3 linked regions of the Lonchura striata genome follow. The protein of the gene in region 1 purifies or fractionates together with the protein of each later gene. This does not show direct contact. Links are inferred from orthologs where the notes say so. Each region holds a gene or a part of one and is shown in the gene's direction. Other genes may lie near its edges. The genes, in order: MTX2, IMMT and CHCHD6.

Region 1 (11,041 bases):
TTTTACATGTGTGAATTGTTGCAGCAAGAGTTATACAAGAAAAAGGCTCTCACAAATCTGATGTTAGAATAAATTTGAAAGAAAAAAAATAAAGATACACCCAAACAAGAATAAAAACTTTACATCCTGTCTGCAGGTTGTCAGTGCCATCCATCTGTGGTCCTGTTGTCTCCACCACCAGTGACCTAAGGCCTGCAAGAGAGCTCACCCATCCCAGAGGCAGGTGGCCATGCTTTCAAGAATTGAAAGAACATGGCTTTGCCCTGTTTTTCTGAAGAAACTTTTCCTAAATTTGAATTTCTCCTTATTTAATAGAAAGATGATGGTATGATGGCATATTTAGATGTTGGCATCAGTCACATCCAGACAGAGACACCCAGATCTGTGGTCACTACCAGCCTGCAATTTGTGCCCTGAAGTCTTCATCAGCTGCAGCCTGAGCCTCACCAGTGGCCACATGATGTACAAGCAATGTCACCATCAATCACTTACATTTGCTGGATTTGTCAGTCTCAAGGCTTGTTCTGCATTGGTCTTCTTTGCATCTAACTCTACTGATAGTTCAGGCAGACTGGCCATCTGACTCATCACTCTAAGTCTTCTATACTAGAATTAATTTAACTAAGCACATTTAGTTCTAAAACATCTGACTAAGAGGGTTTCAGATGCTAGCAACATTACTCCTGTAACTTTTGCCAGCCTCCAGGGAGCTGAGAGGAAGTAAGGGATTTGGAACATCATTCATACACATGGCTGTTAGCTGGACTAGGCTGGAAGTCAGCTGGATTAAGCTGAAATTTAGCTAGCCTGTGCTCTCTGCACACTTATGTAAACTGAACACGGCTCACGTGGCTCAAAATATTTCTCAACCAGGCATTCCTTTTCCATGTCCCAGTGCTCAGAAATATTAAAAGTGCATCTTATTTGCAAAATGCTCTGAAATCATTGCTGCATAATTTTTTATTTCTGTTTGCTCTGTCTCTACAAAGACCAAAGAAAACACCTGGTGCTTTTCTCACATCCTTCTCCTGGTGCCAGGAAAAGAATCAATCTGATCTGCCACATCTCCTCATGAATCTCAGGAGGTTTCCAGCCTCACCAACTGATAGCTACAACCAGAAAGGCCATGTGTTTCTAATGTAGATACATTCAAGTTATCTCAGTCAGCATAATTTTTTTCCTTACCACAGTTGTACCCTGGGGAGAAACTATGTCAAGTATGAACTTCTACAGCTGTAATGAAGATATGGCAAAGCTTTTCTTGTTCCTTTTATGGAACAAGACAATGATTTTAGATGGAATAAATTCAACTTCTGAAGTTTCTGCTATATTGCATCTACAGAATCAGTTCCCTGCCTCCCTTAAAAATACAGAATAGCACTCTGATGATCAGGCTATATGTCTAAACTGGAGGTGTTGGGAAAAAAACAACAAACCCCACTAGAGAAAACTTCTTATTTATGACATACATGGGAGAAATTATTCAGAAAATAAAGTAATTTCCATGTAAGCTTTTAAAAATAGGTTATTTCCCATCTAGAGGTAAAAATTTTATAAAATGCAGCTCTGCAGCATTTAGCTGTAAAAAAGGAAAAGCCAGTATGAACAATGGGTTGCTTCTATAAGGACTAAGTAATCAGGCAGAACCAGTCACAATTCTTCTGCTGAAGTGAAATGAACAGCATGAAAAGCCAAGAGTTAAGCCCCATCCTGGCTCAGCAGAGACAACATTCATGCAAGATCAGCAAGGCTCATGTCCCTGCTCCTGCATGTTGGTCTCCATAAAGCACTCCCCAGGGATGTGGAGGTTGAATGGGATGGCTTGGATCTGATGAATTCTCTACTAAACTTTCTTCTCAGGTGTTCAAAGAGTTCCATACATAGACTGATGAGAGGGTTTTGTAGGTGGGTTTTGGTCCCTCTCCCTTTCTTAAATTATGTAAAGGGTTTTGGTTTTATCCTGGTGTGGAATGGCGACACATTCCTAATCTCAAAAATCTTTAGGGACAAGTCAACCATTTCCTGCCCAGGTCTACAATAATTCACAGCACATCCCTCTTACAGCATGTTGCAGATAAATATTTCAGTACAGCTGCCTCTTCCCTCCATGCAGGGTGGGCAGTTTTGATAATTTCTACAATAAGAAGGAGAAAGTACCTTCTTTCTATGCTGGCCTCCAGAAAAGGATTTAGACCCTCTCACAAGGAGCTTTGATGAATTAATAAACCTCCTCAGTATTTACCATGATTGTCCAGAAATTGAATTCAATTGCAACTCCTTAATTTTCCAGATAACATCTGTAGGGTTTGAGAAGACTTGCCTAACCAGTGCCTACAGTCAAACTGTGAATCATCATTCTTATTTTCATTAACAAGATGGATCTAGATTTTGCTACAGTATGAGCTATACAAATATCAGGATGAACCTTTACAGACATTGCTACTGCAAGCTAGAGTCATGATTGCTGTGTTGACATTTGTGCTATTTGACAATGCAGGTCAGATCCATAATTTTAAAAAAAGACTTGTTGGTGTCTGGTCAACTAGGGATTAAAAAAGTGATAGACAAGTATGGAAGCAGCCTGTTAACACAGGTTGGATCCAAGGAAACCAAAGGCAGAGTTTGGCAGGAAGAGTAGAGGAAGACAGGGTGGACTGTGCAGTAGCACAGACAGGGAAACCAGGACAAATCTGTTGTGTTCCTTCTGGAAGCTCCTGCTTGCAGGTCCCTCTGATCTGAGATTTTGTTTAAAAGTCAAATCCTGATCCCATGAAGCATAAACTGTGTGAAGCCTGTTGCCCTAAATCCACCATTTGCATGGAGAAATAAGCTCCATGGGCAGCTGAGACACTGTCACGGCCCTGGGCCCCAGCTGGGACAGCCTCTGCTCCAGTGGCCCAGTGGATCTATTCAGAGCTCAGTCCAGGCCATTGCCCTCTTTGCCTGGCCACGGCTCCTCCGTATTCAGAGTCTGACCTATGAGCTGATGTCCCTGTCCTTGTGGAAGTGCCTGGCCTGGGCTGAGGGCACTGGGATGGGCTGTAGAGGCTATGTCCTGCCCACCTGCAGAGCCCTTCTGGGAAAACTCAGGTAAAGCTGGGAAGATCAGGGTCTGACTTAGTTATTTCAGAGCACAGAGCAAGATTCCTCAGCAGCTGCTGGGAATGACAGGGATATGCAAGAGCCTGGGGGCTGGTAACACCTTCAGTAAATAAAATAGTGAAATTTGGGTTTCTGAACAGCTGCTTTGATGTCTGCTCAGTGCAGCTGCAGGAATGACAGATGTGCTAAAGTAGGCCTGGTACCCCTGAAAATCTCACCCTGCTGAATAAAAGAATGCAGAAAAGGAGGTGAGAAAAGGAGAAGAAAATGATTAATCTAATGGCATTCATACAGTTTGTGATTCCCTGTTTGCTTTCAGAAATGCTATTCTGGTATCTCTTAAAACTCTAATAAACCCTTTCTATCTTCATGTAGGTTGCTGGAAAATTAATCAGCATTTTTTCATTTAGAATTAAGAATGCTTAAGTGTGAAGTGATTAATGTTAGTACAGTATGTATATATATGTATTTTTATAGACATATGTTCCTAGAAATCATACCTTATCTTGTTTACACAGCAATTAAACCCTTTTGAGCCTACCTGATTATGCAAATAAGAGAATACTGTCAGCAGCAGGCAATTCATTTTAGTATGAAAATTGATTGTAAGGTACACCTGAACTTTCATAAACCCAAATTTATTTCTTACTCCATCAAGGACACTACCACAAAACATATACACCAACTTTTCAAGGAAGTGCATTGGAGCTTCAGAGTTGTGTTTGGCCTCAATTTTGAATTCAGGTTCCATATAATGGTATTTCTTTAGTAAACTCACAGGACTGTGTGTGTAACTGAAAAATTTGCAACTTGGCTCATGCTTGAGTAGTTTTGGCACCATTCCTCACGCTGAACAGTGGATTGCATGAAATGGCTGATAGGCAAACACTTGCCTTAAAAGTATACCAAATGTCCTATTAGATCCATTTGACCATGCTAGTCTACATTCATCTGTTTCTGTTGGTCTGTGTACTTTGCCAGGTATTTAGTGTACAGAGAACCTCTGGCATGAAGTCATGCTAAAAACACCCTCCTGCTGCTGCCTGGCACTGGATGTGTTGGCAGGGAAGGACTTACTCAAGTCTTCCTTCATTGTGGTGATTTCCAGCAGCCATAATAGCTCTTTAAAGACACTGACAGGCACCATAATGCCTGGCAGCCCCTAGGATGCCCTAAATTACATGAGAGGGGCAGCCTGACTGTGGGTCAGGCAAGGAGAAGGCATTTCAGTGCTGTTTTTTTCCCCCATGGCTCTCTACTTCTTGGCCTTTTCTCAAAAATCCAGCTGTACCACACAAGGAGTCTTCAGACACTTCACCCATGTGCAAGATTTCTGCACAGTTCTCTTTGACAGAACCATTGCTAATTGAATCTGTGACTGTCAGCATTCCTCCTGTGTCTTGGAAAGGCCTAACTTGTTAGAGACCTGCTCCGTGGAAATGCAGAGCAGTGTTTTAGGCAGACATACCCAGCTGTGCACTGAGAAAGTGCTCTGATGAGGTCTGCTGAGCAGCATGTGCCCTGAGCTTGCTGTCCTGGGATGAAGAAATGTTATACTGCAACACAGATCAACTCTGCAGCGTCCTCTACCATCCCAAGTTTTTTGAAGAGGAATATTTGCAATCAGTGTTGGACTGGTACAATACTCTTGTGTCAACCTTAAACTGGACTTAGCCCAAAATGTGCTTCATGAACTTGAGAACTGCACATGACACCTAGCAGTGTTCTCAGTTTTTGAGAAACTAATTTAAATGCCTTAATTTTCTGGTGATTCGTTTAATCTTATCTACTGTCATCCATATGGCTAGCTAGACTGCAATTTGAATGGCCAACAATAGTGTTACAAAGCAAACAGCTTGAAAAAATGCACGAGAAAAGTCTTTTGTTGTAATCTCACAATTCCTTTTGTAAAGTATTCCTAGCAATTATATCCACAAAGAATTCATTCTACAGATAAAGGTATGCACTATTGTTAGCCATGCATTTTGTAAAATATTAACAGAGAAAAAGAGATGTTAAAAGCTGTCTAAATAATATTAAGGGAACGAATATAAACAGATGTTTTTTCCTAGGCAGAATATGAATCCTATTCAAGTTCCATACTATTTCAAATGTAATGTATGTGTGTATGTGTCCTAGTCCTGTTTCACCTGCAGTCAGTTTAACCCTAGCAACTAATACCTTACAGTGGAAAGATGGGCTACAAGAAAACTGAACTCCATCTCTTTGGTGTGCCCGTGTAAGCACCCTTCATTGAGGGCTGACCTTCTGAAATGCAAAGCCCAAGGGACAGTGTAATTCTGCTTTCAGTTTCCCTTGAAAACCCATCCTTCTCTGCACTGAAATCAGGGATTTATTTTGCATCATCTGCCTCCATTTCTGCATATTACATCTTTGTATCAAACCAAGCTCTACAAAGAAACATAATTTTTTAAACTGGCTGCTAATATATGGATTTGGCCTAGTTTATTCCTAGTTCAAGCTCAGCCTTTTGTCCCATGGCTTGTGTTTTTAGCCTTCTAAGTACTGTTGATGATGAAAGGATTCAAACAGCACAAACCAGCTTAATTTAGACTCTTGCAATCTCTTAGTGCAAAGCCACTCAGCTTCTCAAGACTGCTCAGAATTTCTGTAATTTCAATGCTATTCAACTTACAGCTGTAATTAGAAACAAAGCTTTAATCAGCACTTAAAAATATTCAGTTCTCTTATTTACTATTTTAAGTCCTCAGACCATTGTTCCAATGTATCTACTGACTCTTCTGCTTTTGCTACTGCTCTAATAGCATGCTTCCACTATCATGTGAAGAATATATTCAATATATTCATGTGAAGAATGATTCAATAGTAAGTGCCACCAGAGGAGTTTCACATACTTTAGAAACATTAATACATGCTTATATCCCATGTCCTCTGTACATAAAATATTTAAGATTTTACAAGACTGAAATGTTGTGCCGTTCTTCACAGTAGAGTAAGTAATACTTGATAAAATGAGATAATCTAATTCTTATTAAAGTGTGGCTAAAGAAATGAGGCTCAAAAGGGACTGCAAGATAATGAAACAAGTAATCCACGTATCCTTTATCTTCTCTGCAATCAAAATACCGGGTATATAATTTTATAGCATTTTCCAACACTTAGGTAGGCTTTATATTCTCGAATTGAGACCAAGAAATTTATGGTTGCTTAAAGGCAAGGTGTACGTTCCAAAAAGCAGTTTGTCTTCTGGAATTAAGACTCCCAACTGGGAGGAAGACAAGGCAGCTGTACCCTTCAGTTCCAACCTACTGCCCCGAGACGCTTCGGGAAGCATTTCGGAGCTCCGCTCCCTCGTGCCCCGGGGCAGAGGCTGAGCAGGCGGTGCCCCGCTGGCAGTTCCCGGGGTTTGCCCTCAGGCTGGGCTAACGGAGGGAGTGACTGTCGCTCCCAGGCCGGGCCGCTCGGAAACTCCCCGCGGAGCATCCCCGCGGCTCCGGCGGCAGCGCCGGGCGCGCAGGCCCCGCGGGCCCCGGCGCTGCGCCCGCGGGCGGGGGAGCCGCGGGGCCCCGCCCCGGCCCCGGATGCAGTCGCTCCCCGCCGGCGGCGCGGCGCCCAGTTCCTGTGCGTGCCGCGGCCCGCCGCGCTCCGCGACATGTCGCTGGTGGCCGAGGCCTTCGTGACTCAGCTGGCCGGTGAGGGGCGGGGGCGGGCGGGACGCCGGGGCTGTGCCTCAGTGCCGCGGCCTCAGTCCCCGGGGTGACCCTCGGATGGGGCCGCGGCGCCGCGGGGAGGGCGCTGAGGCAGGCTGGGGGCGGCCGCGGTGCCGTGCGGAGCCCGGCCCGGGTCGGGGACAGGTCCCTCCGCACGGCTCCTCCGCGCGGCCACCGGGTCCCTTCTGCGGGCTCCTAACCGCGGCTGTGCCGGGGCCGTGTCGCTACTTTCGTGTAATAACTTCTTCTTTGACACTTCATTTTCTTCAGTGGTCCAAGAAACCGCGTCATGTGTATAATTGTGGCGGCTGGCGTTGAGCCCCGCTGCGTGGGAGAGCTCGGTGCGGCGTTGTGCCCGGCCCGCGCCCCGCGGCGGCGCGCTGTGTCCCCTGTGTCCCTGTGTCCCCTGTGTCCCTGTGTCCCCTCCGTCCCCTGTGTCCCCTGTGTCCCTGTGTCCCCTGTGTCCCCTGTGTCCCCTCCGTCCCCTGTGTCCTCTGTGTCCCCTCCGTCCCCTGTGTCCCCTGTGTCCCTGTGTCCCCTCCGTCCCCTGTGTCCCCGCGGGGAGGCTCGGGCGTCTGACGGGACCTTTGCTCCCTGTCCGTGCTCCCGGGAGCCGCTGCAGCGGCGCCGTCTGTGCTGAACGTGACCTTGGGATAAAACCAAAGTGTGTGCGTCACTGTGGAGCTATTCAGCAAAAAATTATAATAATATGCTCTTAAGGAGAAAACCAAAGCATGAACCTTAGATAGTGCCTGGCTAGGAAGTTCAAAGCCCAGTTAGAGTGTTGCATGCTTAAAATAAGTGCCTTGGTTAATTTCTCCTTTCTTATTCCCTGTTCTGGAATTTTTGCTGCTAAGCAGCGTGTTGATAAATACTGACCTGTTTAGGAGGATGCTAGAGGTTTGTCTCAACAGTTGGGTCTTCTGCCACTTGGTAAAGGCCTCAAATTAAGAATCTGAGCTGGATTCTCAAAAATGAGTGTACCCTGACTTGTAGGTCATATAAAGGTGGTGGGTCTTCAGTCTGGGTCTGTTGAGGTTCCCATAGATAAGCCTGAAAGTTGTGCTAGCCTGTTGAGTTGGCAATTGCTCATACATAGATGTTAGCACAACCCGCACTTATGTACTGAGGGCCAGAGCCCTGGTCCTTGGGATGTGGAGAATAGGGTATTTACTTGCCTTTATGATCTCTTTAGTATATTTTATTTATATTGTGAAATACAAGGATAATGGTGTACATGACTGAATCTTGATTCTCCTGTCTGCTCTGCGACCTTTATGAATATTCTAGAGTGGCAGCTTGATAATACTTATTATTTCTCGAATTACAAATACAACTTCAAAAGCATAGTGTATGTAGGCGTCTCATTGCTGTGTTACTATAAAAGCTGTTGTTTCACAGTTTTAAAAGCAGTTATCTGCCTTAAAAATAAAAGATACCTTTGCCAGTGGGTCATGACCTTTGTAGCTTGTCTGTGTTAGGCACCGCGTCCAGATTGAAAGTAAGTAATGGCAACATTGCTCAATTTGTTCAAAGATTTTTCAAATTTAAAGAAGGCTAACCAGGATCTTGGCAAATAGCCATCATACATCTGGATTTCCTGCGATGTTAACACAGACATAGGGAGTATTTAATTCTGGTACTAAGAAGATATAAATATCCCCCAGATCTAGGAGTATTTGTGAGGAAGAAAAATGGTGTATCTGCAAGGAAAGAATACTGCTTTACAATGACACTTGTTTTAATAGCATCTTATCCTGTATCTCTGGTTGTGAATGACTGAGAATTTTTTCCATGTTCTTAAAAATGAAATTTTATTGAATTTTCATTGGGTTCCTGTTCATGAAGATGTCCTTTTGTCATAGCAGTTGCAACCAGCTGCTGCTGCTCTTAACATATAACAGCTGTAATGCATGGGTCCTTACATACAAGTATTTAAGACAATTAGCTCAGCATAATTTGTTTTCTAGAAATGTTTTAAAACCTTAGGAGAAGGTTTTAGTGGAGAAGAAGATCAGAACTTCCTTTTACACCAACTTTTTGTGTGTGTATTTGGATTTACGTATTTTCACTTTGCCTGTGCCTTGTGCATTCACTTTCACCATCTCAGCACAAACTGAAATACAGAAAACACCATCTGAATGTAAGAAAACTTTTCAGTGTGAGGATGATTTAACATTGGAGCAGATTGCTCAGTGCAGTTGTGGAGTCTCCGTCCCTGGAGGAGAGTGGAGATGGGCAACCTGCTGTGGCTTGCTGTGGACATCCAAGAAGTGCCTTCCAGCCTCAGTGGTTCTGTGCCCATCAGTTCTCAGCCTGCTTGCAGTGCTGCAGTAATTCAGCATCCTCCCTGAGCAACATGATTTACCTGACCACGCTGGGCACAGCCTGCTGCTCTAACGCGTCAGTGATTAAACACAAGGCTGAGACTGAATCACCTGTGTGGAGTGTAATGCTTGCATTAGTGGCATTCAGCCATTTGCTCATTCAGGAATATGAAGAAGTTGATACTATGTCTCAAGGAATAATAAATATTTCCATAGCTTCATGAGTTGCAAGCATTCATAAAAAAGAAGCATCACAGTTTAAATCATCCATTTCTAAACTGTAGAAATTATTAATTGAATAATATGATAGAGAATTTATTTAGAATAGCTTGGCATCAATCACATATTAACGGGATAGGAAATGAATGTTTATACTGTAAGAAGAATTAGAGTGCCAGCTTTCAAGTGGTCTACAACATTAATCTTTCTAACTCTAGTAGTTTTGAGAAGCTGACTGCTCAAATAATCTCTAAATGATTGTTGAACATACATTTAATTGATCACTAAATTACTCAATATGCTTTATTTCCCCCCCCAAAATACATTAGTTTTAGGTCAGTGATCAAAAGAGGGAAAATAATTATTGTTGCTTGTCCTTTGATCTCTGGAAAACTACTTCTGTTTATTGCTGTTATGTCCAAGAGTCTTAGGCTGGTTTTAATACTAAGGGAAATGAATGCAGTGTGAAAAGCAGGTGCCTTTCTGCCTTAAGGTATTTTATGTTCATAGTGAGTCTGCCTCCAGTGTGGCATGCTGGAGTACAAATAAATCTTTGACATGCATGTTTTATGTATTGAGACAGGCTTCAATCTGAGTGAGAAAAAATTCATTTGGAACAAAACCTGACCACCTAAATTGTTCCCATACATAAAGACATGATATTTAAACTGAGTATGCATTTTTTGCATCAAAATGCGCATAGGTAAATGTTAGTACTTCCTCCATGTGTGAGGTGAAAAAAAAATTAAGCTATTCTTGCTTAAAATAGGTTGTTGGCAGCAGAGATTGTTTAAACCTGCTGCAGAAGTTCTTGTAATGAAAAATTAAAGTTTATTTGAAAATACCAAATTTGTCAGACTACATGACAAACAGTGTTTTTTACATGTGTGCTTTTCATTTGGTAATCAAGCTGAAAGGAATCTCTTTTAAGTCCTGTTCAGTTTCAATAAGCAAGTTTTTTATGTCACTCCTGCCAATTTATGCTCAGACATGTTTCATGACTTGGTTTAGACCAATCCTTTGAGTGGATTGCTTATCCAGTCTATATTTTTGGGTCAGGGAAAACATTACTTTCACAATTATTGTAGTATAGTACATATTTCATTTTGAAATATTGTTATTCCTTGTTTTTAAGCAGCAGCATAATTACAGTTTATAATAAAGCATGCTTCTATAATTGTTTCTGTCTCCATTAAGACTAAGCAGCCTTTCTCTAATCAGCATTTTATTGTTACATGTTTTCTGCTAAAGTGTCTTCTTTTCTCATTCCATAAATGAGATTGCTCTAGAAATAATGGTATCAAAATTAGTAAACCAAATGTAGCACCTATTTTGATATTGTTCAGTTTGAATTTCAAGTAGACTTTCATTGGCTGATGAAACCATGACGAGTGGTTTGGATGAGAGTGATGTTTTGGAGCCTCAGCTCAAGAGGTCATAGAAAAAAAATAGCAAATAGTCAGAACAACTTTGGAGAGCAATCAGATTTTCCTTCTCTTTCTCACTCCTTTTTTTCTCTCTGGTCTTTGGATGCTCTATTCTTGGACTGCCCTCAGGCATTAACCTGGTCTGTTCCTATAGAGAACAGGATCAGGTGAATCACCTTTATTTTCAAAACAAGAATAAATGCAAGAGCTTGGTTGCTGTTTTTTGCTCTAGTTGAAGAGGCATCATATGTTGTACGCTGCTGGGCATTTTCAG
Region 2 (10,587 bases), on another chromosome or scaffold:
TCAGTGCAGCTCCAGCAGTCACCAACTGCTGAATCAGGATCACATCAAAAACAAGACAGACTTCACATGTGTCCCTGTCACCCTGGAATGAATCAACCTAAAAACCTTGTAGAAGTGCAAACCCAGCACAGAAGGGAAGAGAATCAGGCAATTTATTCCTGCTAGGAGGGAGAAAGCTGCTTGGAGACGATGCTCCTCCTGTAAACAACCTGCTGCCTCTGGCTGCTGGCGAGTCCTCGTGTTGTGATGAACCCTTGTGCTCCTCACCCACAGTCTCCCTTTTGCTGTTTCAGGCACCTGTTTTGCATCCAGCACATTTGAACTAGCAGAGAACACGTTGGGATTTGCGTTTAGACAAACTATTTAAGGCTCATAATTGTGCACTTGGTGTGATTTCTTTCCTGTGATGGGTAGAAAAGTTCTGTGATACCATGGTACACTTGATGCCTCACAAGGACGGCCATTACAACAGTATTCCAAAGGTTGATGTTTTGCTGGTTTTGTTATACTGCTTGATATACATCTTGAATAAAGTCTTAATCTTTTCTTTATTTAAAAAAAAAAGAACAAAAAACAAACCCAAACATCTTTAGTCTGTTCAATGTATCTGGCAGGCCAGAATAATCACTTTGATTGCTGTATTATTTTTATCTGAATTCTGGCTGACTGTATATAGATGTATTCACTAAGTGCTGCATGTCCTTCAGAACTTTCTGTATCATGAACTGGAAAAAGAACAAAATACAGCTACTGAACACTGAGTAACTAGTGAATTCATTGCAATGCTACAGCCTTGTACAGCAAACCACCTCTGCTATACAGGCAGCTCTGGGACTGATAACCAGGGACTGTCTGCTCAAAAATTGGTTATCCTGGAATGCTTTAAAGTATTGCTTTCATACACTTTCTGGAATATCAGCTTTGTAGAGAAAATATCTGATCCAACCCTTAGCAAAACCAGGGTCTAGTTGATCTGCTCACTCCAAACAGACCCCACAATAAATCCTTGGGTTTGTTCCAGTTATGTGTGACCAGGAATGTGCAGTATGAAGTCTATTCAGACTTAAAGGAAAAATAAACAAGAAATTACTCTGACTTATCTGCTTGAGGATGCTGTGCAGGACACAGAGAATAGATTCTACTACTCAAAAACCAACAGAGGGCACAAAACGTGAGTCCTGTAATGAAAGCTGGTGGCCAATACATTTTAAAATCAGTTATAAAACCAGCACGTAGCTATGAAACTCTGGTTTGGGTTTTTTTTTCCCCTACACTTCCTAGCATGGACACAAGGCAATAGTGTGTTATTGTGAGAGGCAAAAATGCTAAGATGGACCCTGTCTCTTTTATCCTGTTCCCTAGAAGACTCTATTCAGTGAGCCACCACTTCGTATGGATACAGAAAAATAGATTCTGGGGTTATTTACACATATTTATTTAAAAAAAATAGGATTAAGTATGTTGAATTATTCACTTTTAGTGCTGTTTAGTGTATTCCTCCATGACAAGCAATCACAGGAAACCACCAGACATCAGAATGTGTGGGTGACCAACCTGACCTCTGCTAAGTAAAACAAACAGCAGATGAAGATAAATTTGAGTATTCCTTTATTGTGGGCATTGATTCTCATAACTCTGCTCAGACGATACGTACATGTTTATTTAAAAAACCACAGATGTATGGTCCAAAACCCAGACCATGCCACAGGACTGCTGCCCCTTTCCCAGAGATGTGCAAACCCAAGATTTCTACACACGGAGATTCGTGCGGTCGTGGTACTTCTGGTAGGGGTCATCAACGTACCAGTTCCTTCTTTTCCAGAAGGAAGTGGTCATTTTATCCAGGAGCTTACACTGTGTCCTCGTGCACAACACCAACTCCCTCAAACGCTTCTTCTGGGCAGCTGATTTCTTCCACAGCCTCTTCTTATAACCTGACTGTTAGGAGAAAACACACACAGAAAAATCCCCTTTCTTAGCAGGTCACTGCAAATACACAAACACAGCCACACTGCTCAGCAAACCTGGATAAATCCCTCCTCTTTCAGGAAAATGGGAGTCTCTCTACAGAGCTTGTCTAACTTCCACACCAGCCACTGCCCTCCAAGTGAAGGAAAACAATTTCACTTTATTCTGACTGTAAAGAACAGGCTCTCATTATCTAAAAAATCTCACCATTCTCCTAACCCAGAGGCCGTTGTGCAGCCGGAGGAACCTCTTGACCACAGATTTCACACTTTTCCTCTTTCCCTTCCGTGCGCTGCAGTAGGTGAGGGTCCTCACTGGCTGCTGGAGTAAACTTGGAAGTAGAGGTGTGACACTAAAAAAAAACAAACCAACCCAAAAACGGAGAGGGAATCAGAACAGTAATGAAACACCTTTTTCTAAAAGAAATCACTGCCTTTATCTCACACAGAGAGATCAGCAGAGCTGTGGCTTGTTTGAAGGGTAAAAATGACTCTAATATTACAGCACAGCACCCAATGGGTGCAGAATACCAATGTCAAGGCTGGACTCTTGTCAAAATTCAGCTCAAACTTATTATTCCACACAGAGAACCTTTTTTTTTATCTACTAAAAGCAGTCAAACACTCAGAAGCCAATATTCAGCTGTTACTTGGATTCAGAAATTACTTTTATAATATTAATCACAAAATAGTTTGAGTTGGAAGGGACCTCGTAAACCATCTAGTCCAAAATCCATCAGAAGCAAGAGAATCAGTAGTGATTGCAAGATTAAGTGTAAAATATAGCTGCAAAGAATATCCTAATTTAACCCCTGCTTCAAGCATTAATGGTGACTGAAGTGGGAGGCTCTGGGGCTAGACACACACCCACTGCAAAGGTGCCCAAGAGTGTCAGACTGAAGTTTATATATAATACATGTGTTTGTATGTCTGTCTATCTATATAATCTCTGTATGTATTTTATATATATATATATATATATATATATATATATACACAAAAGGGTAATGGGGTCAGTCTCTTTTCCCAAGAAATGAACAACAGGACAAGAGAAATTTTTGCCAGGGGAGGTTTGGATTGACTCTAAGGAAAACTTTCTTCACAGAAGGAGCTGTCAAGTCCTGAACAGGCTGCCAAGGGCAATGGACAAGTCACCATCCCTGGACGAATGTAAAACCTGTGCAGATGTGGCACTTGAGGACATGATTTAGTGCTGGGTTAAGGGTTGGACTTGATGATCTTAGAGTTCTTTTCCAACCTATGATTCTACAATATTCATATATATATATATGGAGAAATTTCAACATATACACTACACATATTGCATATTACACTATATTATATAACATGTATTGCATATAATACTACATAATTATATAATACTGCATATTATATTATGACATATAACATAGACTATACTAACAACACAATATTAATACACATGATTATAAATTGTATGTGTTATAGGATACATAATACATTCACAGTATATTGCACATAAGTAGTGAATAAAAGATATATTCCTAAATGTATTTATGAATAAATCTATTTTAATATAAAACATATTTATACATAAATACATTTAGGAATGTATATCGTTATATATAGTTATATATATATACATATACTCGAAATGTATAGTATTTAAAATTATTTCGATTTATCTGAAACAACATAATACATCTAAAACATGAAAAGTATACAAATAAAGATGTATATTAGGTACATATATATAAGCTATATAGAGAGAAACTCCCCCATATATATCTGAAACCCCTTTTAAGGGTTTTTAGCGCGGGAGAAGCCGCACCTGCTGAGCACCGAGCGTGTCCCTGCGCGGGGCCGGTTCTCGCTGAGCACCCGCGGGGTCCAGAGCGGGGCCGGGGCCGGTCCGTGCCCCGCGCACCGGGCGGAGGGGCCGCCGAGCGGCAGCGCTCGGGGGATACAGCGCCGCAGGATCCCTGTGGGGACACGGGAGAGCCTCAGCACAAACGTCCCAGCCAGACAGCCCCGGCCCCGACACCGACACCGCCCCGGTACCGACCCCGACCCCGCCCCGGTACCGACCCGCCAGGGCCCCGCGCGCCGCCGCCGCCGCCATGGCCACGCTGCGCCGGGCGGGGCCGCGCCGCGTCCCGCCCACGGGGACTGCGGCCGCCGCGGGGCCGGGATCCGCCCCGCATTCGGGATCCCGCACCCCAACCGGGATCCGCCCCGCATTCGGGATCCCGCACCCCAACCGGGATCCGCCCCGCATTCGGGATCCCGCCCCCGAACCGGGATCCCGCAGCGGAGCCGGGGTCGCTCGCCCGAGGGTATCCCGCACCCGAGCCGGCATCCCTCACACCCCCAGAGTCCTCCTCGTCCGCCCCGCTCCTTCCCCCGCGCTCCCGTCACCTTTAGTGACCGGCACACACCGTTGAAGCCACTAAAGTGCCCTGGAAACGCGCCAGGTGGATTTAGCTCAGTGTTTTTACTGGTTTATTCTCACTTTTTTTTCTTTTTTACTGGTTTATTCTCACTTTTTTATCTTCAGAAGCCTGGCCGGACTGGTTGAAGGATGAGATAAAAATGGCTTCTGAGTGCTCTGAGCGAGAGAAGGTTTATGAGCGAGCTGTGAAAGGTTACAGCTGTAAATTGTTGATAAATGCTTTAGAATGTGCCGCGTTACACTCAGACTGGGGGACGGGAGCGTCTCTCTCCCAAGGCTGAGCAGCCTCGGGGAGAGCTGAGAGGAGACCTCGTCCATACCCGTTAGTATCCGAAATTCTTCGTACACGGTCGGCGCTCGGAGCAGGGAGCGGCTCTGCTCGGTAGGGTAGGAGGGAACGGGCAGAGGCGGGTGCCCCAAGTGTCACCGGAACACGCGGAGTAACTCCGCAGCGCAGTGACCGCGCGCTGGGGCACTCCCCAGACGCCGTGTGGAGCCTCCCTCACTGGGGACATGTGAGAACCCCAGCCTTGTTTTGGGGCCACATGTGGTGGTGAAATTCCTCCTCTAACCCGTGTTTTCAAAGAAAAACTCCGCAGGCTTAGCTGTTTGGTCTTAAGGCAGTTTATTGCTAGTTATCTAACAGATTATGTTCTTGGACTGTAGCTATTTGATCAGCGGCTTGGGTAGAGGCACACACACACCTTGACATCCTTTCTATCTGCTGTTTTTTTCGTTTTTCTCTCCGCCTAGGGTTGCTGCTATCTTTTATAAGATATATTATGTATAACATGTTTACAATTATTTTCCAATACCTACTACCTACGTTACCAAGTGTTTTTCTACTTTAAACCAATCTGTGAGTGCCAACATTACTAAGAACATGGAGGTAAGGAAGAAGAAGGAAGAAGGATGGGTTTAGCCTACTTTCCTCCATCTTAGAACTTTTGACCCCTATGTATAAAGTGAAAACCCTCCTGTACATGTGTTAAAACCCCCCTGTATAGTACTAAAAAAATTTTCCTTCTACTTTGTAACTACTTTTACTATACTATCTAACCTTTTGTGACTGCTTGTTCTACCTCTAAAGTTGGTAATTCATTCCATGGCTTAAACTCAAAATCACAGTTGTTTTTCAGTTGTCTGCTAGGGTTTAGAATGCTTCTGACCAAGGCTTGGAACCTCTAAAAATGTCTGAGAGACATTTTGAGTTCCCACAGGGACATTCCAGCGCTGTCTGGCTGCAGTCCTGTGCCGCGTGCTGCGCTTTGGACCGACTTTGCCCCCATCCCACCTGACCCATTCTGTCATTTTCATTTAATTTAATTTTATTTTATTCTGTCCCCGACAGTCCCGGGAGCGCGCGCGGGCCCCGCCCCGCCGGCGTCGCGCGGCCCGTGCCCGCCCTCCCATTGGCCACGCGAGACCCGTCACGCGCGGCCGCCCCCTGGCGGGGCGGGAGCGCCCGCGCAGGCGCAGTGGCCGCCGAAGGGGGGGAACGGAGGCGGCGCCGGCAGGACCCGCGCACGGCGCCTTCCCGCGGGCCGCGCCATGCTGCGGGCGTGCCGCCGAGCGGGGCTCGCCGCGGCCAAGCAGGTGAGCTTTCCCCGGGGGAGCACCGCGACCCGCTCCCTCTGTGATCAGCGGTGCGGCCGGGCCAGGCCTGCGGAGCGGGGCAGTCCCTGTGACCGCGGCTCGGCGCGCGCTGAATGACTCCGCACGCGCGGGCCGCGATTGGCCGCGCAGCCTCTGACGGACGGCCGCGACCGCCAGCGGAGGCGGGGGGGCGGGCGCTGCTCGTTGCTATGTACTACCAGTCCCAGCGTGCACCGCGGCAGGGCAGCGCGGGACTGGATGCGGCGCCGCCGCAAGGCACGGCGGGAGTGTTAGTCCTTAGCGGGATGGCGGGGAGCAGCGTTGCTTGCTGGGGGCTGTAGTCTCGGCCGCCATGGCCGCGCCGGGCCCGCAGCTCCGCTCCGCCGCTCCCGGCCCGCACCCCGGGGCAGCGCCGGGAGCCGCGGGCGCAGCCCGGGGGCCGGGGGGGCTCGGTGGGGACGCGCACGGCCCGCCGGCCCCGCGCGGACGGGCGGCGGGCGCGCTCCCCGGCGGGAAGGACGTGACCTTGCCTTCCCCGGCGCGCCCGGCCGCCACGAGGGTCGGACCGGCCCCGGGGTGTGACACGAGTGGTGTCAGCGCTCGTGTGCAAGGGGATCCTTCTGTCCCCACGGTGGGACACAACTCGCGATGCCCAGGGCAGAAATGCCTGTGGGACTCGTGCTTTTTACCCTGGACCTTTGCCTCTGCTTATCAGCAGAGATAAGAACGGTGGTGTGCTCTGGAGCCTTTTTAAAGCAGTAAGCCAACTTTAGGAAGCCACAGGGATTTATAGGTGCGGGCGACTCCTTTACCGAGGCTCCAAGTTGTATTTCAGCTGGCTGATAAGAAATAAGCTGATTAGATCACTTTTGTGTCCTGCTTTCCATCCCAGCGTTCACTACCCTGTGTTCACACGATTTAGCAAAGGAGTAGCTGTAGGTTCTTCCCTCTAAAGCTCCAGCCTTTCCTACTGCAGCAGCTTCATTTCCTCTGCTGCTCTGCAGGGCTGGAGAGTCCTTTGGTCACCTGATGCCCGCTCTGGGTTTGCCTGCCTGTGGAAAGTTTCATCTGGAAGTTGAGAAGACAGAAACCAGGCTTTGGCAGATATTTATCACTTGCGCCTATTTGCATTGTGCTCAGCCTTTAGCAGAATGTGTCTGGAATGACTGTACAGCTCCAGAGCAGCCAGGGTGGTGCTTTGCAGCTGGAAGTTGGTCATCAGGCTATAAATATTTGGTGGAAGAGTCACAGAATGGTTTGGATTGGAAAGGACCTTAAGACTTTCTCATTCCAAACTCCCTGCCTTGGGCTGGGACACCTTCCACTATCCCAGGTTACTGCCAGCTCTGTCCAGCCTGGACATGGACATTTCCAGGGACAGGACATCCACAGATTCTCTGGACAACACCACACCACCCTCACAGGGGAGCATTTATCCATGAGAACTGTGCAAACACAGACATGCCACAGCACTCTCTGAAGATTTTTATCTGTACCAGGGAGCTTGTGGTGGAGACTGGGAAAACTTCATTCATTCTTTCTTTCCCTCTTTCCTGTTATTCATTTTTCCTACTTTTATTCTTTCTGTCAGCTCTTTATTCATTCTTTCCTATTGTGAGCTCTGTATGTGGAGCATCACTAAACTTGTAACAAGTAAATTGAAGAGGATTTGAGAGAAGGGGATCTTCATCACTTTCAGAAATGTTTTCTGCTTACATGTGCAGTGCTGCAGAGAGATTTTGCTCTTGTAGTATCTTTGAAGTTTGTTGTGAAAATAAGCAGGGCTTTTAGTAAAAGTATGTGATATTTGGCAGAAGTCTTGAATGATGGAAAATTGGAGTTCTGTGGTCAGATGTTCTTGTTGTACCTGGTCTCTGTCTTAATGAAGAAAAACTTCTCTGAAGCTTCTGGTTAGCTCTTTCTGTTGAAGTGCACAAATCCCACATTACAGAAATTCTGGATCAGGATGCTTGAGCCTCAGAGAGGTTGAGCTGGAACTGAATGAGCAGAGGATGATGTGTCCTGGCCATGGTTATTTGAAGTTACACATAAAGTATAAACCTGCAAGGCAAATTTAATTTGTTTAATGAAGTTCTGCCATGCTGTTCTTGCTCTGAGCGCTGTGCCAGAGTGAGCTCACATGGATATCCTTAAATGTCCTTAAATCACTGGGACTCATTAACCAGAGTAAAGGTGTGATGTGCCCTGCAGAGTGACTCTTGTGGTGATTAAATAGTAGGTAATGAATGCAAGATAATAGGTATTTAAGAAGTTGAATGAAACAGATATAATTTAGAGCTGCTGGAGGAGGAGGAGGAAGAAGTAGAAACAGCTGCCCTACAGTGCCCTTGCTGTAGGCATCCTTGCTGCGTCCATGCTGCCTCATCCAAAGAATTTGCTGTCTTCTGCAGGACAGAAAGTGGTTTGTTTCTGCCTTTTGAAGGGCACAGCAAAGCACATGTGATTAATTTCTCCAAAATTCTTTGAGGCATTATTACAAATAGATGACAGGGGTCTGAAAATTTACAAAGTCCTGGAAATTTTGCAAAGGGGAGATTAGAAACTACCTGATAATCTCCATATTATGGTGGTACAGCAAATAAAAGTAATATTATTATGGTGGCCAAGAGAGAGCAATACTTCTTTAAAAATGATGTTTTAAAAAATCAGTGATTTTTGGAGGTCTTAGTGTATCTGGATGTGAGGGAGGAAAAAACTGGGCTTCTGTTCATAAAACGTGGGTACCTACAGATTTTCATTTGCTGCTTCACTGGCCAGCTGTGGAAATTTGTTGCAGTGACTTGAAAGATGGAGTTGGTGAGGGCTTGTTTTGGGTTTAATTACTGCTACCTGTGTGAGAGTCCCAGTGCCAGAGATGGAGGGCCTGTGTTTTGGTTCCTCTCATCTTGATGAAAAATAAATAGAAGTGAGCATTTGGCTAATTCTAGAACAGTCCAGCTTGGAAGAGATCTCTAAAGATCATCTGGACTAAAATCAGTAATCCCTCCAAAAAACCCCTCTTGGTTGTATAAAGCATAAATGCTGAGCTAAGAGAAGCAGGTGTTCTCTGTCTTGGTGATTCCCTGAGCACAGCCTGATCCTGAGGGCAGGGACTGATGTTTGCTGAAGGTGTGGAGCCACATGGGTCCAGTGTTGTTTGCCATCACCAGGTGTGAGTAGGGGTTTTAGCCAACAGGGACAGGGCTGAGCTGGTCCAGAGGGCAAGTCCAGCCCGAGCAAGGATGTGGGAGTGACAGTGGTGCAGGGTGGGATCACCTCCAGAAAGCCTGGCCAGGAGCTCAGAAGTGATGGCTTATTTCCAGGGGAGCACCAGCAAAATACTTAATCCTAAAGTGTTGGAAGGGACTGGAATTTCAGTCTGAATTGATGCATAGAAAATCAGGGTCTTTTCTCATTTTATTGGATTGCGTTGTATGCATAATACTGGATTATTTGCTCCTCCTGTGCTTCATGGTGTAATGGGGACATACTGAGAGTCAAGTTTTGTTATGTTCAAAAATTGGTAACAAAATTATTTGCGAGGCTTTTATTAGTGAAATTCCCCTTGAAAGGACCGTTGACGCTTCAGGAAATGCTCCTGGGCCAGTCAAGTCAGAAAATCAAAAATACTACAGAATATATTTATTATTTTGTTGCCCTTTCTGTCCATCACAATCCAGAAAACCACCCACAGGGAGGGCTCCTGGAGGTCTCAGGGGCAAGAAGAGCATGCTTCCTCTTGCTGTACATGTGCTCCTGCTGCTAATTAAAAATGTTTTGGCTGCCTTTGTGGAAAGAATAAGAATGCAGTGTTCCTGCCTTTTCCTGTCTGTGCTCTTGGACAGGGATAGGACCTAAACCACAAGAGTTGTGCATGTTATTGCCATGTGCAAAAGGAAATAGAGAAACTTGTCTTTTGGGGTTATGTTGTAGTAAAACATCTCCCAGTTTTTTTCTTTTTTAAAGAAAAAATTCCCTCTTGGGCAAAATACCTCAGCTGTGGGAAAAGTTCTTTTTGTGCCTTGTGCTTGGATTTCTCATGAGTCCTGTATTTCCCTGTTAGTAATTCCCATGTGGAGAAAAAACCTCTGAGGCCAACAGTGTGTTTTTTTCTCTAAGCTTAGAGTAGCTTAACCAGTCCTTCAGAGAAGATAAAAATCTTGGTAATGTGGATATTGTTAAGTAGAATATAATAAAATATCACTCTTCATATACTAATTTAATTTATATTATAATCTGATGTCTGTCTGGAAAGTGTACATGTTATTAATTCTTTTAAAGTTGTGGTCTTGGAAGCTTTGGAAGCTTAAGGAGAATTGTGTGTATATCTTAAGAATTAAAAGTAGTTTTAAGCATTTAAACAGCTATTGTTGTGTTCTGCCCCACTCACACTGAGCCATTCTAGTGTGTGAAATTGAAATACATCTGAAACTAACCCAGTTGTACTGACCAGCACATAAATCAGCAAAATAAATGCAGAAAGAAGCTGGGGTACGGCTTTGTTCCTTCTCATTTTTCACATTTTCAATTCATTTTTCAAAGAATTTAATGACTTCTTAAAAAGCCCTGAACCTGGGAGCTGGAACCTGGAAG
Region 3 (10,857 bases), on another chromosome or scaffold:
GCTGTAACCTTGCCTTCCAAACCCATCTTGAGTATGCATATACACATGCAGGAGGGTATGGTTTAGTCCATTTTACCACCATCAATTCTGCCAGCATGGGACAGGAAAATGCAGTCTTAATTCTTCAGCAGTTCTTAGAGACAAGGTGGTGAGAAGCTTCTGTTGCATTTGGCATCTCCATCAAACAGATTTCCATGGGTGTTTGAGGTTGAGCTTCACATGTGTCCATGTCTTTCCCACAGCCAGGAAGAGTTTTTATATTTATGCTGGCATTCTGGCACTGCTGAACCTGGTGCAGGGCCTGGGCAGTGCCCTCCTCTGTGTGGATATCATAGAAGGATTGTGGTAGGTACACTGGGGGAGGTGGTCTGCAGCCTGGATCTTGTGTTCTCTTTGAGTGTCCTTTAACACTGCCTCTCCCAAGAAAACAAACCTATGCTGTGTTCCTAAGAAGGAATAAACCTGTTGGTTCTGGTTTGTGCCAAAAGAGTCCTAAGTAATCAGAAAACTCCCCAGTGGAGAGGTTGTGGAGCTGTGTGTACTGCAGTTGTTTTGAGGTGCTGAGTGAGAGTAATAGTGTGAATCCACCAATGTCTGGCCATTAGTAGGTAATAAGAGAGGAGATTGTCTATTTGTTAGAAATATGGAGACACCCTTATACCTGGAGTCTTGTTCTGCAGGGATCAGTGTCACATTTGAGAGTCAAAATTGGGAGTACTGAGACTGCTCTTGGTCAGACCTTGGGTTTTGGCATGGTTCCCCTGAGTGTCTAGAAGCAGTGACATATGTTGATGACAATGGCTATTGCTTTGCATCAGTTTAAATTTGTTTAGCATGATGTTTCTTAATCTTTGGACACTTTGGAGGAAAATTGGATCATTTGGGAGGATGTAAGTGGTGTTACCTTAGCTGTATTGTTCTTGAATACTAAATCCCTTCATGTTCCCTTTTGTTGTTGACAGCTGTGTTGATGCTACCACGTTCCTTTACTTCAGCTTCTTTGCACCTCTCATCTATGTGGCATTCCTGAAAGGTTTCTTTGGGTGAGTAGCCAGGAAGATGAGTTTAGATGTATGTATATAAATTGTCTTTTAAGTGTTTTGCACTCAGGTTCTCTCAGTCTGTACAATAAAGACAGCAACTAGAATGCCAGTTAGAGAGCCAGTCTTAATTTCTGCCGTTGAAGAATTTCTGTGACCCGTTGCTGCTCACTTCTGTGCAGGGCTCCTTTACATGCAGAGCAGATCTGATGGCTGTATTCCTCACACATTTCTGAGGATCACTTCTTCAGCATCAGCACTGTCTGTAGTACAAAGCTTTTCTGCTGAAGTTGATAGCTAAATGCTTAATGAGGAATCGAGCCCTGGGAGTTGAAACGGTCTTCTGAGTAGGTTTGGGGTAGATTGGTAGAAAGGATGTGGGAGTTTAGTAACTCTTCGGCCGAGGACTCCCCCGTGGCCCAAACGCCACTAGTGAAAAGCCCTGGGAAGGTCCATTCTCAGGCCGGGGGCGCCGCCGTGTGGCCACTCGCGGGAAATGCACCTTGGTGGGAAACGAGTGGTTCAGTGTAGGCTTTAGTATTTGTTGGTCATTAGTGAGAAATAGCAGGCTTTAAAATAACTAAGAAGATAAAGTGCTTTTAAAATATAAAAATGTACTTCTGCATCCCTTTGAAATTAGAAGGCAACATTGGAGTTCAAGATGAAAACTGCTGATCTACAAGTGTTTGTATTTTGGTTTTCATGATGTGCATAGGTAGAGCTTGAAGTATACTCCTGTTCTGACTCATTTTGTGTCAGTAGCCAGGCTGTTGTGGAGTTCAGTAGTGTTTGGGTGCTGTTGCCCTCAGTAATTCAAAGCTCCTGAAGATGAGAACTCTTTTCCCACAGCAGAGTCAGGATTCTGCCATTTGTATTTCTCTTAAGTGACTTCTTCCAAAGCTTAATTTAGCATTACTTTATGGCAGTTACTCTGCCACCAATTTGTAGACCAAAAGCTCATTTAAAGAGTGTTTGAGGTATGAATGTACAATTTCTTAACACTGATGAGTTTCAATTAAGGATAGGTAGCTGTGATACGACATTGGTAACACATGGATTTTAAATCTTTCATCACTCCAGGTCTGAACCGAAGATCCTTTTCTCCTACAAATGCCAGGTGGATGAACCTGAGGATGTGGATGTGCACCTACCCCACCCTTACGCTGTTGCCAAGAAGGAAGGAATGGATTCTGGGTTCTACTCGAGCACTCAGATTGACACCACAGCCTACCTGGACGACGTGGCCTCTATGCCATACCACGTGGGCAGCATCAACAGCATAGACAGTGACCGCTGGAAATCCATCAATGCCTGAGGCAGGGCACCTCAGACATGTGCTCCTCCTTTCTTCCAAACTCCCTGATACCACAGCTGTTCGGATGTCCACTGGAAACCTCTCCTTGGCTACCTGCCATGGCTTTCCTCTTGTCCTTAGGATTTCCAACACCTATTGTGGCACTAAGTTGGCAGCCCAAACCCTTTTGGGAAGAACGCTTTCTGTTGCTACATGAGAACAGTGTAGAGTGGTTTTGTTCATAAACCTTTAAACACTGAACTTTCCTGATCCTCCACGTTCCTGATGTGAATATGACCCAGAAGATAGTCCTGGCTGGCACCTCTTCCTTTTCAGTGACTGAAAGCACTTGTTTCTCACTTAGAGCAATGATGTTTAGGAATGAGGGTGCTGATTTGACTGCTATATTGTACATATATAGAAAGATTTTGGTGGTTGAAACCAAAGATGATCTTCCTGGGCTAAGCGGCATGGCTGCCTGCACCTTGCCATAATACAACAGCACAGGTGGTGATAGTGTCTGATGAGTGAAGCTGGTCACTGGGGCTCACCCTTGGTTTCAGCTAACACTGTTGAAAATTGTGAGTTGGAATTGCTAGTGGTTAAAAGGAATGTTCTCAGTGTATGGGGAAAAGAGGTATGAAGAGGAATGAACTGTTCTCTGTGCCCAGAGAACATTTGGGGAAGGCTGGTAGCTCACGGCAGGGATGTGAAGTGACTGAACAGTAGGGAGACAGAAGGACAAGCAGTGCTGCTGTCTAGCTGAGCTGAAGGAGCTGTGAACCAGTCTCTGGAAGCTGTAGTGCTGTGCATTTGAGCTCAAAGGAAAGTCTAAGTAAGAACACTGAATCAGGGATGAGTTTCAAGAGTAAAACCTGTGAGGTAGGTGTGTTTTCCATCTGCACCCTGCTTCATGGCTTTGGCAGGGGCTCAGAGAGTGCTGTGAAGGAGGAAGGTGACTCTGCAGATGAAGGCTCCAGAGACATTCAGGTGCTTGAGGCAGAGCAGAAGCCTATGATGAGTCTGAGCTGTCAGAATTTAGTGACTGGAAACTCAAACACCTTAGGTGTGCTAGAATTGAGTTGGCTGGTGTGCTGCAGTGGGAGAAGAGTGGGAGCTGGATGTGTATCTCTGGCAGTGTCCTTCCCTTACATTGCAGTTCAGATCCCCAGACTGCTGCTGCTCTCAGTAAGTTTTATGGCTCAGTATGTTGAAAATGCTTATGTGCATGTGGGGAGTGGTCCTTTTAAAGACTTCCTGGTACTTCTTATTAACCTCTTCCGTGCTGGAAGAGGGACTCCTATTGTCTGAGCTGTCTGGCATGCAGTTTCAAGACGTGGTGTTCCAATCCAGTGACTGTTCACGTGAAGGCTGCATCAGTCTGGTTTCTGGGATATCCTGTGCTTTCCAAGGATGAAGTATTCCTCTAGATTTGGTGGTGCTTTCCTACCCCAGTCCACCAGATAGGTGGAGATCTGGTGTAAGCAGCTTCCCACTAGGGATGGTAGAAAAAGGGAACTTGCAGTGTTTGGGGACTGTGTGAATCTCTTGCCCCAACTTACTCTGTTCCTGAAGAATACTGAGGTAAGAGTAAGCAAGGTGCAGTGTAGAGGTGTTGGTTTGGATCATTAGCAGGTAGGGAATGGTGTTTGCTACCAGATGTTCCCACCACAGGGAAAGAAAACATGGGTAAGAACGTGCAGTTCATATTGGTTGCCAAAACTATGTAGGCCTTTGCTTATCTTATTTTGTTTATGAGCAATGCAGCTTCTCTGTCTGCCTGGGTACTATTCCCTACAGGCCTCTAAGTAGCACTGGCACCTTGAAAACAAATAATGCTCCAACCCACCCAACCCTTCACCCCCCTTTTTTATTTTTATTTACTTCTGGGGAAAAAAGACTTCCATCTATCTGTGTACTAGGAGTGAGTAGTTTCTTGTAGGTCACAGCCTTTCACATTTCCATTTTGTGCAATGACTGCAAGGGCTGGACAAGGATCTTGCCAAGTCAGCCCTTGTCACGTTAGAGAAGTGTTCCGTGCTCCTCTGTCACTGCTGTCAGTCGGCCTGAGCCACGCTGGGCTGCTTGCTGTAAAAGGGATGGGTGATGTGATGCCTGAATTGCTGTGCTGCTGCTCCCGGTGCTGCTCACAACACTGATCCTGAGCTGCTGGTTAGAAAGGGTGAGGGAGCCTTCAAAGCTTCCCTGGGCCTTGGACAGAGTCAAGAGAGATGAAGATTACAAAGCAGTTGAGAACTAAAAGAGCAACTGCTTTTCCAACCCAAGTCAACCCATTTGTTGACTTTCAACACCCTAAGTGAAAGGAATTACCTGCCCTTCTTGGTGATGTGAAGAGCCTGTTATGAATTTGCCTTTTTTTACCATCTGAATTCAGTGCTGAAGGATCACCTGTGCAGGTTGTCAACATCCATCCTGTCCTTTGCTGGCAGGACTCCAGAATTTCTGGAATGTTCCATGTTCTGCTGCTGAGGAGCTTCTGCACTAGGTCATGGACTGACCTTCCTCCTGTTATGTATTTATGTATATATAATGCTTTGGGCCATCTTAAAGTGGTTCTTGAGCAAAGTGTGTTACATGTGGGGGGTGGTGAAAAGAAAGTATAGAATAAATGTATATTTTTGTTTGTAAAATAAATAAAATTAAGTTTGGCATAAATGGCCATGCTTTATTTCTTAAATGAGACATATTGGGGAGGAAAAGTAACTTGAAGATTTAAAAAAAAATGGCAGAAAGGCATGGGCACAGGTGTGATGTGGCTTTGTTTGCCTTTGCCAGCTGGCCTTCCTGGATCTTTGCAGGTGATGTCTGCCACCTGGCTGGGAGTGTACACCTGGAAAGGCTTAGGGAAGGATGACAGGAGTAATCACAATTATGGAAAGACTTCTGGAGGGGTAATCACATGGTTGAGAACTCACCAGCCTGGAAGAGCAATGGTGCAGGCCTGTGAAACCCTTGGAGAGGACAGAAGAGGTGAGTAAGGACTATCTGTTCTTGGGCTCTTTCAGTGCAAAAACCGGGTACCATCAAATGAAGTGGGCAGGTGGCAGATATGAAATGAGCAGGAGGTGGGTGAGGGAGCTTCAGGCGCCCCTGTGCTCTTGCCTGGCTGGTGAGGGTGTTCCTGGGGTGCAGGCAGCTCACACTGCACAATGCAGTGCCCTTGTCTTGAGAGCTTGAGCAATGGGCTGACTCCAGCATACAAGGTGCTGCACAATTAACAAAAATATTCCCTACTTCCAGGAATGTGCTCTAGAAGAGACCTGGATATCCAGAGGGGTTTAGGGGGTGCAGACTCACAGATACTCCCTGAACATTGGCCCATGTCCGACTGAGGCAAAGCTCTGGTTGCCACATTAACCGCAGTGAGCAATAAGCATTAAACACTTAAAACTGCTCCCATGCACTACTGAGGAGTAGTGGGCCGAGTAGATAAGTAGCACATTGATACCAACTGGCCCATATTTCTGGGAATGCAGAAAGCTTGTTTGAAAAAGATTCTCCAAAGCTGTTATTTCTTGGTTCAGCTGCCTCTGTGTTGCATTATCTCATTCCTTCTGTTCTGGCTGTTGGCTCAGCCATGCCTGGCAACGGGGACTGTATCAGCCTGGCCTGAGCTGTGCAGGACCCGCCCGTGTGTGTCAGGGCAGGGGACGGCCCCGCTGGCTGGAGCAGAGCTGCTGCAAGGTGAATTCCGCTCCCAGCGCAGCTGCTGTGCCTGACGAGAGGTCATCCTTCCTCAGCTTGGCAAAGCGCCGTGCCTTGGACGTGTAGCAGCGGAAGATGTGCGGGCAGTTTTGGTGCCGCGTTCACTGCCAGGGCGGCGTGGAGGGCGAGCTCAGCGGGACAGGAGCGGCGAGGAGGGCGGGCTCAGCGGGACAGGAGCGGTCATGAGGGCGGGCTCAGCGGGACAGGAGCGGTCATGAGGGCGGGCTCAGCGGGACAGGAGCGGTCATGAGGGCGGGCTCAGCGGGACAGGAGCGGCGCTCTCCGCTGCCCCGGAGCCGCCTCTCTGCCCTGCGCATCCCCGGCACCGGGCGGGCCGCCCGCTCGCGGAAAAAACTACATCCCCCAGCGTGCACCGCGCCCGGCCGCTAGCACCGCGCCGCGCTATTGGCCGCCCCGCGGCCGCCGCCAATGGGGAGCGGGTATATTGGCAGGCGCTGCCAGGGCAGAGGCGCTGCTGGCAGCCGGTGCGGGAGAGGGGCGCGGCGAGGACGGGGCGACCCCGGGCGGCATGGGCGGCAGCGAGAGCAGCCAGAGCGGCAGGAGCGTGTCCTTCGGGCTGGATGAGCGGGAGCGCGTCCGGGTGCTGCAGGGCATCCGGGTGAGGCGCCCGGGGGTGTCGTGGGGCCGGGGGCGGAGGGAGCCGGGCTGCGCAGGGCTCCGGCCGGGCGGTGGGGGGAGCGAGGTGGAGCGCTGGAAGATGTGGGGGAGCAGGGACGAAGGGAGTGGAACCGGGAAGGCTGAAGGAGTGGGGGGTTGGAGAAGTGATGGGGAGAGTGGTGAGAAAGAGGGCTGGGGGCCTGGGCATGGCTGCTGTCGAGCTGGGGCACGCCAGCTCTTTATTTTCACTTCCAAGCTCTGCTCTCAGCCCTCGTTCCCTCCTCGCTGCTCGGTGACCTCGTTTGTGCCGCGCAAGCAGCGTGATGCTCCCAGCAGGAGACAGCTCTGCCCTTGCTCACGGTGCCCGGGCAGAGCACCGCTGTGTGAGCAGGGCGAGGCGAGAGCCTGCACACAGGGATGCTCCGGGAGGGACAGCGGGGAACTGCTTCTTCACCTTCGGTCGGAGACTGACAAGTGTGTGTTGTGGAAATAAGCCCTAGAGAGTGGTGGTGCTACCGTTAAGGAATAGTTTTTCCCGTTTATATATATATATATTTTTTTTTTTTTTTACATGTTAGTTTTGGGCTTTTTTTTTTATTACTACTATAATTTTCATTGCTCTTGCTTCATGATCCTTTTATATGATTTCTCCCTAAAATCTGCCAGAAATGAACTTTCAGAGTGTTGTTGTGGCTGCTTATTTTTCATCCCATTTTGACTAATTATTTGACAAAAGTTAGCTAAGATTGTGCCTATCTTGTTTGTAAATACTTGTTAAAGTATTTAATGGAGGTAAAATTGTCTTTGCCTATTTTATCTTTACAGGATATAGACAAGGATTTGTGTCTTTAAAATTAGGAATTGGGCATGATAATAATGTAAATTGATGGTACAAAAAATGCTATTAAGTTGGGTAGTAGTGGTATAGCTGAAAATATGTCTTCTACTGTGGCAAGCTAGGTGGGGAACAGCCTCATTTGGTTTTGTTCTGCAGCCAGACCCTCTGACCTTGGCAGGAGGAAGGGGTAAATTTTAACAGTGCTGTGAGAAGCCTTTTGGACTGAATTGCCAGAAAACTTTAAGTTAACTTTTCTTTCTTTTTCATGGGTTTGAACCCAAGTCAGGGGGTGAAAATGAAGTTGAGGTTGCAAAAGTGTTTGTAGCCTTATGTGGGTGGGAGGCTGTTGTCTGTCATGTGGGTTGCAGCATGGCTGCCATGCTGAGCTGGGTTAGCAAACATGGAGCAAGAAGAGGAAAAGATGGATTAAAACCTGCTTAATTCCTTTCCTTCCAATTCTGGTAAATTTTTCCCTATACAAGGAATTGACTTGTTTAGGGATGGTCTCCACCTTTGTTGGTGTTTGTGAATGATTGTCTAGTGAAGCTTTTAGGGTCAGGCAGTAGATTGGAGACTTTGTCACTTACTGATAGGGTATGGCTTTTAAAAATGTAAAGTCAACATGCAAGTGCTGACTGCGTGGACTGGAGGGAAATTGCAGTGAGGAAACTGAGAGCGCTTCTGTGCTATCATGGGAAGTAACAAACGGGGAGGCCTGCAGTGAAAAGCTGACTTGGCTGGTTCTGTGTTTCAGCTCACTGAAGATGTAGTGAACCGGATGAAAGGATCCTCTCAAAGTAGAAGGGACAACCAGAGATCTCCCCGTGCATCCAATGGCACAGCTCCATCCTCACTGGCTGCAGAAGGGAAACCCAGACCTACAGGTACTGCCTGTCACAGAGGGTGCTGGTGGTTTTCAGTGCTGCCCCGTTGTGAGAGGAGCTCTTTGGTTAGTCTGTATCACTCTGTGAGCATTTTTAGCATTTCAGATCAACGTGCAGTAAACAAGGCAGAAATATTTTGCTTTTAATTTCTGGCAAGCTGCCTTGTTGTCTGCTGTGCATATTGTGTATATTGTGCATGGGTGAGGGAAGTACTGCTTTTTATTCTATGGAAAGAAGCTCATAGGGAAAGATAACCTGTCTAAGCACAGCTGGCTGAGTGGATGATGACAACGTGGTTTGTGAACTTTGAACTTTAAACTTGGTTTGTGAAGTCTTTCTTTACATGTCAGAAAACAATTTGATTTCTATTGGTTCTCAAATAGACTTTGGTGATGTATATCAGCAGTGTGGATTTGTTTAAGGCATCCAGACAAAAATGACATTAGGGTTTGCTTTTAGGGTTTTGTTTGCTGTCAGCCTATGTCTTTTCTGAATGTATATCTAGCTTTATGGATGGCCTGAACTGCCAATTTCATCTTCACTTGTGGAATCCCTTTTAATTACAAGGAGAGAAGGAGGTCAAGAGGAAGACTTACTGGAACTAGAGGAAGGAAATGGAAAATAGGTCTACAATCATGCTCAGTGTATATACATTTCAGTATATATAAGGATTTCAGGAGTTAATATCCTCACATAGAAGTTTTCTGTAGCATGGTTTATTCAGTGTGCCTGTTTGAAAATGATGCTGTTGGTGTGTCTGTTTCATAAAATCAAACTCTATCCATCAAACTTAACTTTCTTGACCTTTCTTTTTTCTCTTGATGAGTAATATAAAAAATTATCCTAAAACAATTTATGATGCGATGAAGGACTACATTTATAGTACTATTAGTTGTCACAGGTTTCTCTTCTCCTTTCTAGGAATTCAGCCACCAAAGGCAAGTGACTCTGCTGCAGAGCAGGATCTCTACAGGAGGTGAGGTGAAGCTCTTGAAAAAGACAATAATGAGTTTAACTCATTTGGGAATATATCTATGTATGCATATGTCTGTGTTTTACTTCAGTCTGAGCATAATAGGTGTGTATTTGATAGTGGCTGAACACAAGCCCAGGTGTGTCCAGGGGGCCAAGCAGGCCAGTGGCATCCTGGCTGTGTCAGCAATAGTGTGGCCAGCAGGACCAGGGCAGTGATTGTCCCCCTGTACTGGGCACTGGTGAGGCCACAGCTCAAATCCTGGGTCAGTTTTGGGCTCCTCACTGCACAAAGACATTGAGGTGCTGGAGTGTGTCCAGAGGAGGGCAGGGGAGCTGGGGAAGGGGCTGGAGCACAGGTCTGCTCGGGACTAGCTGGGGGAGTTTAGCCTGGAGAAAAGGAGACTTGGGGGAACCTCGTGGATCTACACCACCTGAAAGGAGATTGTAGCCAGATTGGGGATCAGTCTCTTCTCCCAAGTGTAACAAGTGACAGGGCAGGAGGAAGCAGCCTCAAGTTGTGCCAGGGGAGGCTTAGGTTGGGTATGAGGGAAAATTTCTTCACTGAAAAGGTGGTTAGGCATTGGAACAAGCTGCCCAGGGAAGTGATGGAATCACCATTCTTGGAAGTATTCAAAAAGCTTGTGGATGTGACACTTGGGGATGTGGTTTAGTGGTGAACATGGTGGCATAGGGTTAATGGTTGGACTTGATCTTTTCCAACCTTAACAATTCTGTGATTCTATTCTATGATTATGTTTTAATACCTGAGGCTTTGAAGCCTTTTTTGGTTCAGGACTGCTTCTCTCAGTGCTGTTGCTGCATACATTTTGTGTGATTTTTCTTTCCTGTGGAAGAGCCAAAGAGCAGCATTGTCAGCCAGGCTGATTCCTTTTATTGTTGTATATCCCTTGATCTTTTCCAAAGCAATGTCTATTTGTCTGGCTAACTGCTTCCTATTTTCACTCTTTTCAGGTGATAATTAAGTACTTAATAGAGCTAAATATAATAGAATTATAAGCTTATGTGGTGCTATGCCTGCTGTTGTTGCCAGAGCTGTACCTCACTGGAATTCCAGGTCATATTTAAAGTTTGTTGGTCTTTTGAGTTCCTGCTGATAATGGGACTGTGATCAGATTTTGTGTCAAATAGATTCTGGATTTGTGTTTTGGCTCTAAGCAGGGGTACTCCATGACAAGCCATGTTGCCAGAAGTCTGCTGATGACCTTCTCTCTTCTTTTATGCTCATACAGGTATGTGGAAGAACAGACACTGGTCCAAGAGGAGTTACTCTGGCTGGCCGAGAGAGAAAGGGAAGCAGCCAGTGAGGCCAAGGCAAGGAACAGTGTTATTGTGGAGAGGCAGAGAGCAGCCCAGCTGGTAAGTAACAAACCCCCTGCTATGTTTCCAACCTGCACAGGCTAAAATGGCTCTGCTTGAGGGGATTCATTTAATGTCACTTGTGTGATGAACTTAGAAACTTGG

What was found.
Region 2: the proteins of MTX2 (region 1) and IMMT purify together in Homo sapiens (co-immunoprecipitation; 5 studies listed by BioGRID and IntAct, counting the BioPlex papers as one, with this or other methods). This does not show direct contact. The link is inferred for Lonchura striata from reciprocal best matches to the Homo sapiens genes MTX2 and IMMT.
Region 3: the proteins of MTX2 (region 1) and CHCHD6 purify together in Homo sapiens (co-immunoprecipitation; 3 studies listed by BioGRID and IntAct, counting the BioPlex papers as one, with this or other methods). This does not show direct contact. The link is inferred for Lonchura striata from reciprocal best matches to the Homo sapiens genes MTX2 and CHCHD6.

The regions. Positions count from the first base shown.
Region 1 is NC_134610.1:22,181,228-22,192,268, forward strand, and holds the start of MTX2 (metaxin-2), read left to right. Parts: upstream 1-6,644; 5' UTR 6,645-6,736; coding exon 6,737-6,776; intron 6,777-11,041. UniProt on the Homo sapiens protein: Involved in transport of proteins into the mitochondrion.
Region 2 is NC_134606.1:6,066,054-6,076,640, forward strand, and holds the start of IMMT (MICOS complex subunit MIC60), read left to right. Parts: upstream 1-5,883; 5' UTR 5,884-5,949; coding exon 5,950-5,994; intron 5,995-10,587. Other genes in the region: MRPL35 (large ribosomal subunit protein bL35m), read right to left, coding at 1,750-1,938, 2,176-2,320, 3,778-3,928, 4,035-4,224. UniProt on the Homo sapiens protein: Component of the MICOS complex, a large protein complex of the mitochondrial inner membrane that plays crucial roles in the maintenance of crista junctions, inner membrane architecture, and formation of contact sites to the outer membrane.
Region 3 is NC_134614.1:13,508,845-13,519,701, forward strand, and holds the start of CHCHD6 (MICOS complex subunit MIC25), read left to right. Parts: upstream 1-6,492; 5' UTR 6,493-6,589; coding exon 6,590-6,679; intron 6,680-8,270; coding exon 8,271-8,400; intron 8,401-9,321; coding exon 9,322-9,376; intron 9,377-10,625; coding exon 10,626-10,752; intron 10,753-10,857. Other genes in the region: TPRA1 (transmembrane protein adipocyte-associated 1), read left to right, coding at 243-345, 963-1,043, 2,121-2,355. UniProt on the Homo sapiens protein: Component of the MICOS complex, a large protein complex of the mitochondrial inner membrane that plays crucial roles in the maintenance of crista junctions, inner membrane architecture, and formation of contact sites to the outer membrane.